Linked DNA regions of Mytilus edulis. The main gene of each other region encodes a partner of the protein of the gene in region 2 in a complex. Links are inferred from orthologs where the notes say so. Each region holds a gene or a part of one and is shown on either strand. Other genes may lie near its edges.

Region 1 (7,300 bases), on a different chromosome or scaffold from region 2:
TCTTTTTGACCCAATTTTTTGCCTTTAACAGCCCCACATTTCCGGTCATAAAAGTGACATGATGATTAATTACTATCAAAACAACCCCTACTTCAATACTCTCTAATTTTAATCCAAGCTAATTAGTTGTTGGACAGCTGAAAACTACCTGTTCAGATGACAGGTAAACAATAATTTTCAGTACCGGACATCGTATAAATTAATCGGTCTATTCACAATTATTTCCGTACATTTCAGTGGTTTGTATCTAATTGAATTAGTCCAAAAGATTAAATTATAATAAATACATTTATAAACATGATTTGATGAAACATTTAAAAAGATTTTAAATGAAAAATCGTCAGAACTATGTTGCATGAATAAGAACACGTGTGCGCATGTGCACAGGTGGGAAATTTAATTATGCATCCTACATTTCTTCAAAAATGGTAAAATAATCATTGAAACCGGTATCTAACGTTCATTTCAAGTATTTTGTTCAAGAAATAACGTGGAAAGAGCTTCTTCACTCAGTCGTGCTTTGTAAATGTACACGGATTTTACGTATCCGTTTATGGTCCATGTTTTACCATTGTCAAGTCAACATCCGGTTTGGGAAAATGTGTCAACATCCGGTTTGACTTTGAAAACTAAAGTAAATTTTTTGACAACGTCATTTTGCACAAATAAAGAGCCGGCAGATATGAGCACGCTGATGTACACACTTTGAATGATGCACTGCCAATTTTAACAGTTTACATCAGAACATCAAATTCATATCAAAGTAAAGTTTAATTTCGTTTTTTTTAATCTAATGTCAATCATTGGGATGGCCATTTGATTACCATAATTGCCTTTTGTGACTTAGTCTTAGAGATTAAAATTGGAATCAGATATAAAATGTCCGGCTGGCTCAAAATTTTTTTAGAAGCCCTGGGCCAAAGACAATTAATTCTAATCTTGTAAATAACTCTTTGTAGTTCATACAATACTAGTTTGAGACCATGGAAAACAGATATATTTTTTGTTTAATCCATGTTCTTTATAATACATATTTTCAGAATTAGTGAATAGTCTAAAAAATCAAAATTCAACCAGACAATTGATCGTCTTTGAATCCTTAATCACATTTGTAAGTAATATTATAGTTCAACCATTCTCAACCATCTTCTCGTTTGTATTACAGTAAATCAAGTTTTGTTCTATTCCAATATGTCATTTAGGTCGATGCAAAGCACTAATTCAGGCATGTCAGGAGCAGGAGGAGTGGTATGTAAATTGCCATTTTTATAAAAATTTCTTCCTGAATCCTTTCAGAAATTAGTTCATATTTTCGTATTTCCTTAAACACATTACGAGAGAAAGGTGTGCAAATGCACTGGAACAATGCCTAGTTGAATTATTGCTGAAGTGTAGTATTTGTTTGATGTGAATAAGATATAATGTTTATCACATGTATATATGTAAGTGTAAAAATATAAGTGAACCAACACCTGAAGTGGTGATTAATATGTCTACAATAAAGACAACAACACTCAAGTTTTTAGCGCAAAGTATCTGTTTATTTGGTCGACATGTTTCACCTATAAATAGGCCTCATCAGGACCTGAGTGTTATTGTCTTTATATAGTCGACATATTTATGTAACTGTATAATTACTTTGTGGTACATCTTTGTCAGGATATAAATTTTTATGTACATCCATTGCAAAGTCCACCATGTTTGTATTACTGAGAAGATCCAACTTCCCTTTTAACATCTGTTTTTCATCATACAGCTGAAAACATAAAAATATTTTCTTAACTATAGACTAATATATGTGCAGTGAGGGTTATAGACAACACAAGTATCTCAAACATTTATAACGGTAGAAATCAAGTTATTTTAAAACATTCATCATTACTTCTAGTACTTTCAATACTTTTAGTTACCGAAGAAGATCTCACAAGGATTTCCTAGTGACCGAGAGATATGATGGTAGTTCTCTGAGTTGCGATTCTTTTTGAATTATATGTCTCTGTTATTTCCAAATGTTTGTACTTTTTCTATGTATAATTATAAGGATAATTTTTATCATCAAACACCTAATTCTACAAATAAATAGCTAGACTTTAAGAAACTGAACATTGTTTTGACATTGAACATTTTACTAACATTTCCAGTTACTCTGTGCTTGATGAGGGATTTCTGAAAGTGGTCAAATCAGAAATGAATCTAATTCTAGTATACACCTTATTGCTATTCCCAACTGACCAAAGAATCTGTCCCGCTTAAACTATTGACTGACGTCATATCACAATCACTTTTCAATAGTGGCGTCAGATATTTTGTATTGTGGCGTCAGAACTTTACAGGAACCTGTGTATTGTCCAGTAATGGCAGGAAATAGTGATGAGGTGCATTAATCTAAGATACACGACCATAAAAGGGATTACGTCTGGTCTTAATTTATAATTTTCAATCTTGTTAATATAGGAGAGTTGTTTGTAGTTCTGGTTTGCTATTTTATCTTTTTTTTTATTGTTAATATCTATAAAATAATTCAAATCGAAAGTACCGGTATCGGGTTTTATATGGTCAATACGGAAAGGTTATCTATGAGGGGGGATAGGACCTTTATCGGGACTACGGGATCGGGTGTTTTTAAGCTCGGGATTTCGGGATTGACCCTTTCGGGATCCGGGAATTCTTTTTTCGAATTTCGGAACCTCGGGATTTCGTGTTTTTAAGCCCGGGATTTCGGGATTTCGTATTTTTAAGCCCGGGAATTCGGGATCAGGACCCCTCCTACCCTCCCTCATCTATGACAGATCATCTATGACAGATGGGATAAACATTCATTTGAATCGTAGCTCGGGATCACGATACGTTTCTTTCTGTGTCATGTATGTTTATTATACTACTTACTTCTTTCACAGATAAAAATTCTAGTAAAGGGAAGACCAAATGACGGTCTAAATACTGTCCCATTCGCGAAGTCAAGTCCCATTCCGCCATGCTGCCGGTGCGCTTGTCAAAAAGGATTATAAATCATAAAACAAACGTCGGGTACGGATAGGAATATTCTTTGTTTTTTTTATACAGTTTTTTTTTTTAAAAGCATGCATAACATTCAGACGCAATTGCAATTTTAGAAACAAATGGGTATAACAGTAAATTTCTTACCATATATTTTGTATATATATTCGAACGATGAACAGGAAAGCGGGGCTAATATTTATTCGGATTTCCGAGCCTTTCAAGGACACGGATTTTGATAGTCTCATTGTAGAACACTTGCTATTTTAAACTCTATAGATATAATATCCCCACTCGATGTTTAAGTTTCCAATTATTGTGTAATTGCTATTTTGTTTAATTTTTTTTAAAGAAAGAGGTGTATAATTTGACTTCATTATAACCGTCACGCATTCAACACAAAATGGATTCAGTGTTAAGATGTCATAAACAGTCAGAGAAAAACATGACTTTGTGAATGCCAAGATACAGGTATCGACAGAATGTAGATCCATGAATGTGTATATGTATATAACATACTAGTAATATTTAGTTTGCTTTTAATTTACTGATAACAAAATCAATAGTTATACCAATAAAAACAATCATTAAATGATTACAGTGTAACACTGTAATCATTTAATATACTGACCAATAAAAACAATCATTAAATGATTACAGTGTAACACTGTAATCATTTAATGATTGTTTTTATTGGTATAACTATACTGTTGAATTGGTAACCTTTTAGAATAACTTTATTTAAAGGAGCGATCAGTTTACAAGGATCATTTCTAAATTTCCGGGCACGGTTAACAACATTTCCGTAAAAATGAAGATGTGCTATCCTGTTTGAAATAAGTTTCCTACAGGTACAATCAAACTTCAAAATCAAATTTTTATATCTATCGGAAATTTAATAAAGATTTTAAGTAATTTATGGATATACATTACGATGATCCCTGGTTTAATAATTTACCAGTAATACATAGATTATGTTCGTTAAAATCAAAAACGTCACAACAGACACGGGCATAGCGAACGAGCTGTGAAATATAAACACTTTTACACTTACTGGTCTCTTGGAAATGTTGTTTGTGCTGTATTGAGACCCTTCTACAACGATGTTTTTTACATGCAGACGTATAAAAATTGCGTTTTTTTATCCAACGCAATCATAGGTTTGGACGTTGTTTTCAAAAGTTTAGACTTGTTTTAATATATATATCCGAGATATATCTAAATGGAATCTCACTATATATATATATTGTATTCAACATGATAGTCCATTACGCTCTATCAGTATTATAAGAGACATATCGGCTAGCCTGTATTCATATGTCTCTGGCTCTATGAAATAAGTTTTATGGCTTTTTATGTTTTCATGCTACTTTTAGAACTAGTTTAGCCTATTTATTTGTCTGCTTTGCATGTGCTTATAATCTAGTTTAGTGCTTTACTTGATTGTACTTGCTTTTATATATAATTATATATGAACTCAGTTGCGTATGCAATATAGCTGTCTTTATATTGTCTATTGTGTGTGCTGTATATGTCCTATATATGTCTTGTATGTGTTGTTGTTGTTATTAATGTCGACAAAAAGCTCTACAGAGCTTATGTTTGTAGTATTTACAACCCGACATAAAATAAATTTTCTTATCTTATCTTGTCTTATCGAGCTATAAATCTAAACTAAACAGATTTTTTCAGTTCTTTCTTATTTAAGTTTAACTTTTATTTTAAAGGAAAGTATACTGGGACCTATGATTTGTATAGTACAAATCTTTGCTGTGACCATGGAAGCAATACTTCCATGCTGAGACAAATAAAAAGCCCAATCAATACATTACGGAAATATTTTATGCTGTGTCCAGTGGCAGATTTTTATTTAGTCATCATATTTTATTTTCGGATAAATATTTTGCGGTCTTTTACACTGTGTAAAGAATCGTTTTGATAATAACTTTTTAAATTTAGTTTGATTTTCCAATGGAATTTTGTACCGCACAAGTTCATTAGTGTTCCGAAAAGTATTCGAAAAGTTCGTAACGACGATGAAAGGTCAAGGCTGTTCTAACTGGAAGTGTTCGATTTTTGTGATTCATTAAATTAGTCGCTGCATCAAATGCAGCAGGTATGAGCAGGCCTGGCCTAAGAAGTGGGAGTGCTGCCAACTGTACCAACCAGGCGACCTTGAATCGAGAAATGGCACGGAATGAAACTGACGAAGGAGGACGGCAACGTGAGATGGCAGATCAAGACGATGAAGATAAATGCAGTGAAATCAAACCAAACCAACAACAAGCCAGTACAAAATTTCAGAACATTCAGTATGATTCCCAATTAACAGAAAATGGTATATATATATATTTATATGTAACTTTTAGTCATGATACTGCAACTTGTAAAAAAAGTATTTAATAAGACTGGTATAGTGGTATATAATTCGTGAAATTATGATATAAAATTAGGAGATCTACATGTGATTTGCTATTGAGGCAACCATCTACAATGTATAGGACATGGAGGTAAGCATTTATTGGGCATTGTACATGATATATCCTTTAACAATCAACAAATCCCATACTGTGTCTGTATAGTAAGCTAGTAATTTAGTCAGACTCAGGTGGCCGGCTCAGGTGGTGTCTGTCGAAAATTATCCCACAAAGGGTAATGCATGTTTTTTCATGCGACTCCTTCCTACATCATTGACATTGTACATGTACAATATAACATTAAAGTCATTTTTTATGCTGAACTCCTCTTAACTTTAAGACCGAATTTGACATTTTCTCTTCAATGACAAGTAAAATTTTTGCTTATATACATGTACAAACTCTTACATTATTAGTACCTCATCTGCATGTTTTTGAAAATATCCAAAAGTATCGATAAAATAAGTTATAATTCCATCCAAGTTAGGTATGATCTGGGAACAGTATAATATATATATGTTCCTGGTATGCTGAACTCCTCTTAACTTTAAGACCGAATTTGACATTTTCTCTTCAATGACAAGTAAAATTTTTGCTTATATACATGTACAAACTCTTACATTATTAGTACCTCATCTGCATGTTTTTGAAAATATCCAAAAGTATCGATAAAATAAGTTATAATTCCATCCAAGTTAGGTATGATCTGGGAACAGTATAATATATGGTATGATATACTTCTTTTTTCAAATGGTTGCCCAGATTTTCTAAGATCCTTCCCCACAAAAAAATCTACATACCAAAATCTGAATTTATTTAATAAATTTCAGCCTTTTCAGGAGTAAAATTGAAAATGGAGAATGCGTCAAAGAGGCAACAACCTGACTATAGAGCAGCTAGGCCACCAATGGGTCTACAAAACAGGGAGAAAATCCTGCTTGCAGAGGCATGCTTCATCTGGCCCCTAAACAAAAATGTGTACAAGTTTAGTGATAATGGACATCATACTAAACTCTGAAATATATAAATGAACTGAAATTAAAAATCATACAAGACTAACAGAGGTCAGAGGCACCTGACTTGGGGCAGGCCCTTAAATGTGGCAGGGTTAAACATGTTTTGTGAGATCTCAACTCTTTCCCCATGTTCCCTACACTTTTTAGTTCTAGCTAATGTAGAAAAAACAAACACACAGCAATACGCACAGTAAAACTCAGTTTAAAATGTTAAAAGAAGTCAAAGTCTGATGTCAGAATATATATAGGTAACAAAAGAAACTAAACAAAATGACAATGATACATAAATTAACAAAGGAGTGTTTCCTTTAAATGTCACTTTCCCGCCAATTTCAGCTTGTGCAGTTGCCAGTTGTCAAGTTTTTTATAAAAATTGATATCAGCTATTTTTAATATTTTAAAGTATTGTGATCATGCTGACATGGCTGATGTGAAGTTTATTTTTTCTGATTTTCAAAATTTAAAATAATTGAATAACTGAGAGGTCAGTCTCCAGTGGCAGATCCAGAACTTTTCATAAGGGGGGGGGGGGGGGGGGGGGGGGCCCACTCCAGTCATGCTTCAGTGATTCCCTATATAATCAACCAAATTTTTCCCGGATCCGCCTATGGTCTCCTTTTAAGAATAACTAACTTAAATTTAAAATAACTTTTACTTCATAAAATTATATGATCCTATTTGGAATTGTCAAACATGTTGGTAGAAAAACACATATAGTGGGGGATCCAGAACTTTTTATAAATGGGGGCCTGCTACAGTCATGTTTCAGTGATTCTGTATATAATCAATCAAATTTCCCCACATATAAATGACTGATTCTGACAATACTTTTTAAACATTTTGTTTTATATTTTACATGCTTTTTATCAT
Region 2 (7,625 bases):
TTCCACTTTATTTAGAAAGGAATATAATTTTTTTTAACAATACACTATCCAAAACATGATTAAGATTTATTCAACACAAAAAAAAAAAATGCGGTCTCACTTTATTTTGAGACCATGAAAACAATTATACTTATAAGAATACTACTTGCCAAAACTTGATTACAAAGTTATTAAACAAACACAAAACCAATTAAAATTGGGCGCGAACATGTAGGGCGGAAATGAAAGGGGGCGAACATGAGTGGATGCGAACGTGAATGGGCGCTAACGGACCTGGATTCGGCCGCTTGAACTTTTAGACACATACAACAATCACTTTTCCATTGTGGCGTCAGATATTTTGTTATATGACGTCAAACTTTTATGTGATATCCAGTAATGGCGGACTAATAGCGATAAGGTGTATTATTTGGGACTAACATGGACTAACCTAAGCTACAATACACCTTATCGCTATTTGGCCGGTTCAGCCGGGATTAGCGATAAGGTGCATCATAAATGGAGCGGGAAAAATAATTAACTGAGAAGTAATCATATTTCATTATTTGTTTTCTTGTTATATTAATCAATAGTTCACGCGACCTTACAAGACCCTTAATGCAGACACAGAAGATAAGTAGACTCGTAGTCGACGACATATGGCAATCGAAAAAACAAGCTCTATTATAAAATGAAACAAGACATCAAGTATGCTGAAAAGTACCGACATCTGAAAAAACAAGTACAAAAAGAACAAAGAACTGCATACTGGGGTTATATTGAAAAAATGATCTTAGACCTACCCATAAATGAACCAGACCAACAATTCAACAATCAGTCTAAACCTAAAAAGCTATTTTCCTTCATTAAATCACTGCGCACAGATAACACCGGTGTTGCACCTCTAAAAAAAGAAGGACAATTAATAGCTGACACAAAGCAAAAGGCAGACATCCTCAACACACAATTCCAATCAGTGTTTACAACAGAATCAAATAACACCATTCCAGACAAAGGTCCTAGCTCACACCCTGTGATAACATCACTTGAAATATCCTTACCTGGTGTCAAGAAACTCCTACACAATATAAACCCACATAAGGCAACTGGCCCAGACAACATCAGCGGCAGAATACTTAAAGAACTCAAAGACCAAACAGCTCCAATTCTCACACTTATCTTTAAAACATCTCTTGAAACTGGCATTACACCATCAGACTGGAAACACGCCAATGTAGCACCAGCATTCAAAAAAGGGGAAAAATATAAACCAGAAAATTACCGCCCTATATCATTGACATGTATATCCTGTAAACTTATGGAGCATATCATCACAAAACACATCATCAACCATCTTGAAAAGAACAACATACTGTATGACCTCCAGCATGGCTTCCGTCAGTCTAGATCTTGCGAAACACAACTCATTTCATTCATTCAAGAACTTGCAGCAAATAATAACAACAACACTCAAATTGACTTAATTATAATGGACTTTGCCAAAGCCTTTGACAAAGTCCCTCATAAAAGATTACTCTATAAATTACACTATTACGGTATCCAAAATGAAACTTTAAACTGGGTCTCTGCATTCTTAAATGACAGAACACAAACAGTTGTCCTGGATGGAGAGTCATCTGACCTAGCCCCAGTCACCTAAGGTGTCCCTCAAGGCACAGTTCTGGGCCCAGTATTATTCTTGGTATACATTAACGACCTACCAGAATACCTATCATCCAGTAAGCTCAGACTGTTTGCCGATGACAGTATCATCTACAAAACCATCAAATCTCAAAGCGACTGTGATGCACTACAGTTAGATTTAGATGCAGCTGCTAGGTGGGAGCAAGACTGGTTGATGGCTTTCCATCCAGACAAATGCACAGTCCTTACAGTCTCACAGAAGAAAAACCCATTTAAACATGACTATATCCTTCACAATCACAAACTGGAACTTGTCTCTTCGGCTAAATATCTGGGCATTACACTTCAAGCAAACCTAAAATGGTCTAAACATACAGACAACATCATAGCTAATGGCAACAAATCTCTGGGCTTCTTAAAAAGAAACTTAAAAACATCATGTCAGAACATCAAAACTCAGGCATATCTGGCACTAGTCCGTCCTAAACTGGAATATTCATGTTCAGTATGGGACCCTCACACAGTTGAACAAACCTCAAAAATCGAGATGGTCCAAAGGCGAGCTGCCAGATATGTCTGTAACAGATACCATAACATCAGTAGCCCGACAGATATGATAAACACCCTAAACTGGCCAACTCTACAGGAAAGAAGAACTCGCACAAGATTAATAATGTTCTATAAAATAGTACATCAAATCGTAGCTATACCATCGGCTATTCTCATACCATCAGACAGTAGAACACGCAAAAACCATAATTATACTTTTAGACACATTTCAACCAAAAAAGATACATATAAATACTCATTTTTTCCATATACCATAACTCAGTGGAACTTATTGCCAATGCAAACAGTCGCTGTCGCCACAGTCGACACTTTCAGAGAACAGCTCACACCAGCTGTTCTCCACAAATTCATCTAACTCATTATTAGCCTATGTACATAGTTTTAATCACAATTTTAATAAATTATGCACCTCAAATTTATTTCCAAATATTTTTGTTTTTGTTTTGGCCCTTTTGTTTTTGTAAATATATATATAGGCCACGCTGCGCGCGCAAACAGTAAATAATCTTCAGATCATTGAAGGACTACTGAAAACCTAAAGAAGAAGAAGTAATTTATCATTATTCGCAAATATTGAAACATCAAGTAAAGAAGAGTATTTGTTAAGAGGTTAGTACCATTAGCTCTTTTCAGAGCATTCTCTGGTCTTTGGAAATATGTTGGCATCTTTTCAGTTTATGTGCATAATGTATTAAACCGATAAAAAATTTCTTAGGTCGCACTTCACTGTGTCTTCCCGGCCATGTGGAGTACAAAATGGCCGACTCATTAGATAAAGGGCATGATATAACTAAAAAGAGATCATGGTACGTTTCTTCTATAAAACTTTGACGGAAAACATGATAACCCCGTACGTGAATCCGTCTTTTTAATTTAATTTCGTCTGAGACTACTATAACACATATAGTAGTCTCAGATTTCGTCAATCGTTATTTAAAATATCGTCGTGTCATATGTTTTCGTATGTCATATGTTTTCGTATCAACCACATTTCGTCGGTTTCGACTGCATACGCGTACATTGTGGCATGTTTTTCTGTTTCTATATTTAGAACAACAACACCACTACAACTTGATATATTTAAAACATATTCAACGTCGCTTTTTAAAGACGTTAGAACAAATTAAATAAAACTGACCTATTTAGCCATTTTTATTTAATGTCAAAAATACGCATCACTAGAATAGTTGTGGAAAAAAATTCTGAAGGGTTAAAATAAAGTCCAGATATGTTTTTTGCAAGTCAGACACCGGATCTTCAAGACATATGACTGTCATGTGTTTTTATGGCCGTTTTAATTACAAACCATCGAGTTAAAATTAGCAGGGTTCTTATATAAAATGGTTGTTCAAAATCCAACTATTCAATATTTCATTGACAATTTTTTTTTATACATCCTTGATACATGAAGATGAAAACAGTCTTAACTTTTTATATTTAATCATAAATTTTGAAAACTGCATTTTATTTTAGAAAAAATAATGTATTTTGTACAAACCAGGTGCCAATCTGAAAATTAATCAAAATCTAAAAATTTCATCACACGAAACACCAACCTTACACTATTTACTAGTAATTTTTAGTACTGAAAAGTATTTAATAACTTTTTTTATGATTCAAGCGATCACCAGAACCACGACTTTAGAAAAAATTTATTTCCGGATTTTGTAGTCATTTCCTGTCCGTGTACTGATCCAATTTTTATTTCATACGAAAACATATGACGCCGTTTTTTTGACATACAAAAATCGCAAAGTAATCGGAAACAGTAAAAAATCGTAGAGAAATCATTGACAAAAAAACTAGATACCTAAAATCAATCTACAGGACATGCTTTTTAAATCTGAGTAAACACCTAAATAAAAACTCAACAGTAAAAACCGTAAGCAGTGAAAATTGTTATTAGTACGAAAACACATTACACGATGATATGTGTCAATTATACTTTTAGTTTAAAGAGGTTGTATACTTTAGATCAGTTGGAAAACTTTTGTCTATTTAAAACACATTGTGTCTTCCGGCAGGTGCTTGATCATGAAGCCCTTCGTATTTATTTTACCAAAGTTATATTCATTTTTTCAAGTGGCATAATTAAAATACATTAAATATATGGTCTAGGACGAACTGGACCATATATGTATTTGAACCTTATGGGTTAATTTTAGACAAACATTCATCTTTTTTTTTTATTGAATTTACAAATTAATATTATTAGACTAGAATACAGTGAAATATATCCGGCCGCGTCATCCCTACCTGAGACTAAAATTGAGAATGGAAATGGGGAATGTGTCAAAGAGACAACAACCCGACCGCAGAGAAGACAACAGCAGAAGGTCACCAACAGGTCTTCAATGCAGCGAGAAATTCCAGCACCCGGAGGCGTCCTTCAGCTGGCCCCTTAAACAAAAATATATTATACTTTTTCAGTGATAATGAACGCCATATATACTAAACTCCAAATTGTACACAAGAAACTAAAATTAAATTAGTACAAGACTAACAAAGGCCAGAGGCTCCTGACTTGGGACAGGCGCAAAAATGCAGCGGGGTTAAACATGTTTATGAGATACCTCTAGCCAATGCAGAAAAGTAAACGCATAACAATACGCACATTAAAAATCAGTTCAAGAGAAGTCCGTGTCTGATGTCAGAAGATGTAACCAAAGAAAATAAACAAAATGACAATAATACATAAATAACATCAGGGGCCGTGTCAATGAAAGTATCCAAGGATATATATCTTAGGACATTACTTAGGATGGTCTTAGGTCGTGTCTGAGACATGTCTTAGGGTGTAAAACAAAGCTGTCTTAGGATAGTCCTAACTACGATGGTCCTAGGACCATCATAACACATTTATTTTATTGAAAAATTTGTAGAGATTTCTATGATATAGATTTTATTGTATTTTAGTATCTATATGTAAAGAGAGGGAGGATGACTTTTATATGGAAAACAATTAACGCAAAATAATAGTTAAAGATTTAACGTACAAATGTAATATTAATATTATACGTTATTAGAAAATATGATAAAAGATATGAATGATTTTAATACGAAAACAAAAGGAAATATAGTCACAAAACTTTGTTAAATGCGACAGATGTGCTGCAATTTTAGCACATTAACCATACGCGGAGCTACGTTTACGTCAAAACGCCCTGGCGTACACTTGAATTTGGTTAAAAAAAATATTTTCATATAAATAAAAATAAAGGAATTGGTTAACAGTACATCAACATTTTAATTCTTTCTTCAATGGCTTGTAATTGCGAATAAAAGTGACGAAAATTAGTTTCATATTATTTCTGTCAAATTCTAAATCTACTCTCTCTCCTTATTTTTTTCAAGCAATTCATTATGAGCTAAGATTCGATTCAGTGGCGGATCCAGAACTTTTCCTAAGGGAGGGGGGCCCGCTGACTGACCTAAGGGGGGACCCCCCTGGATCCGCCTATGGATATGTGACTTTTATTTTTTGTCGAGCCATTGACATTTATGTCGCGAAAGCGAGCTATTTTGATCATCAATTTCGTCGGCAGTGCCAATATTATAACTATGTACATGCAGGTTCATTACGTAGTTTAGTTTTAAGATATAAATAATTTTGTCAAACATTTGTGAAATTTTACGGTAGCTGGACAAAAACTGTTTATGCTCAAATGACTATCCAGAGCATAATGACGAAATTAGAATTAATTGCATAACAGTGTGGTCGACAGTAAAACGTTTGTAGGTTGTAACTTGTTTGTCAACGGCTATGATTTTATGCTCACCCAGTCTGTCAGAGGCCTTCCAGTGGGGATTGAAATATTCACTTGTTACACATTCCGATACATAAAATGAAACTTTCTTTTTACAAAGCTTGAAAGGAATTTGTTTTAAATATTTATTATAATCATCACATACAACCGTGTCATTTATAAGAATAATAATGTTCAGAGATGATATTATTTAATAATAATAAAAAAAATAGGTTTATCCATTGTAAAAAAAAACTATTAAGTTGATGGGGTTAATTCACAAAATATCTCATTGATTAAGAGCACAACTACTTCTACGGTGTGATCATTTAAGAATGGCCTACTATTTATTCAATGCGTATACATGTGGGTTTTGTTTGTGAAGAGTTCTGGATAATTAAAAAATCATTTGATTTCTTTGTTTAATACCATAAAACGATTCATTCTTTCAGATATTTGTCACTTTGCCTTATCTTCAAGTCCAACACAATTTCTCACGTTTCTTACAAAACTTATATTCTTGTGATATATTCTTTTGTTGAAAAAAAAATGTATAGATATAGATAGATATAGGAAGATGTGGTATGAGTGCCAATGAGACAATTTAACTCTCCTCCCAAGTAATAATTCATAAAAGTAAACCATTATAGGTCAAGGTACGACCTGCAACACGGAGCCTGGGCTCACACCGAACAGCAAGTTATAGAGGGCCCCAAAACTACTAGTGTAAAACCATTCAAACGGGAAAACCAACGAGAAACGAAAAACACATATGAACTACATAAACAGACGACATCATGCATTGTAACTTTTAAAGCCAATTAAGTAAAAAAAAATAATCTGAAAGAACGATATCATATTAGGAAAATTGATGGTCAAACCATAACAAAAAATCAAGTAAAGCATTTTAAGTATTCAACCTTTATAGCTTGCTGTTCGGTGTGAGCCAAGACTCCGTGTTGTAGGCCATTTTTATTTATTTTCAAATTACAAAGGTTATTCCTGATTAGTATTTTTAATTATTTTATTTAGGCGTTTAGAACCTTTGGTGACCTCACAGTTTAAATTTCTATGATAAGTACGTCGTGAGCAGTGGGAATTACAGACGAACGTTCACCTAATTTTCCCCAGTCAATATTTCATTCTATATATATATGATGAGTTTTCCCGTATTTTTTTTTTTTTTTTTTTTTTTTTTTTTTTTATCTTTTTTGGCCTTCACAGTCTGACGTTAAAATTTATTACATAACAATTACTTAAACCTTCGTCGAATTCACTTAAACTTCCTTGAAGTTTTTTTTTTCATGGTTAATTTCAGAAGCCATTTTTTCCGTTTCTATTTTAGTTTTAGCGCGATTTAAGTCAGACGATCTGGTCACCGTTTAGTAACATATTGCAAGCTTTCAAATACTTGTAAGATCTAGTTATGTTGTTACATCAGATCGACAGATGCAGAAGCCATCGCTTTGCTAGGTTCAATTTCAGATGAAAACACTTTTCTGCGATTGATCCATCTTGTTTTCATAAAGTAAAATAATTCTAAATGAAAGACCACGCATACTGCTTCGGTAATGATTGAAGGTTATCCACGGCTCCCTTTAATCATAGTTTAAGGTACTGGTTTGGACGTTTACTCCAAATTAAACCAATGACCGTCATTAGATTCATTCTAAATAGATTTTAAAC

The links. Proteins that work in one complex are often made in the same cells at the same time.
Region 1: eukaryotic translation initiation factor 3 subunit A-like (region 2) and eukaryotic translation initiation factor 3 subunit E-A-like share a complex: the UniProt entries of both Drosophila melanogaster proteins name them as parts of the eukaryotic translation initiation factor 3 (eIF-3) complex. The link is inferred for Mytilus edulis from reciprocal best matches to the Drosophila melanogaster genes eIF3a and eIF3e.

What each region holds. Positions count from the first base shown.
Region 1 is NC_092344.1:103,022,279-103,029,578, reverse strand, and holds the start of eukaryotic translation initiation factor 3 subunit E-A-like, read right to left. Parts: upstream 3,019-7,300; 5' UTR 2,977-3,018; coding exon 2,887-2,976; intron 1,757-2,886; coding exon 1,639-1,756; intron 1-1,638. Other genes in the region: E3 ubiquitin-protein ligase RNF146-like, read left to right, coding at 5,116-5,335. UniProt on the Drosophila melanogaster protein: Component of the eukaryotic translation initiation factor 3 (eIF-3) complex, which is involved in protein synthesis of a specialized repertoire of mRNAs and, together with other initiation factors, stimulates binding of mRNA and methionyl-tRNAi to the 40S ribosome.
Region 2 is NC_092347.1:68,643,042-68,650,666, reverse strand, and holds the start of eukaryotic translation initiation factor 3 subunit A-like, read right to left. Parts: upstream 3,015-7,625; 5' UTR 2,860-3,014; coding exon 2,811-2,859; intron 1-2,810. UniProt on the Drosophila melanogaster protein: RNA-binding component of the eukaryotic translation initiation factor 3 (eIF-3) complex, which is involved in protein synthesis of a specialized repertoire of mRNAs and, together with other initiation factors, stimulates binding of mRNA and methionyl-tRNAi to the 40S ribosome.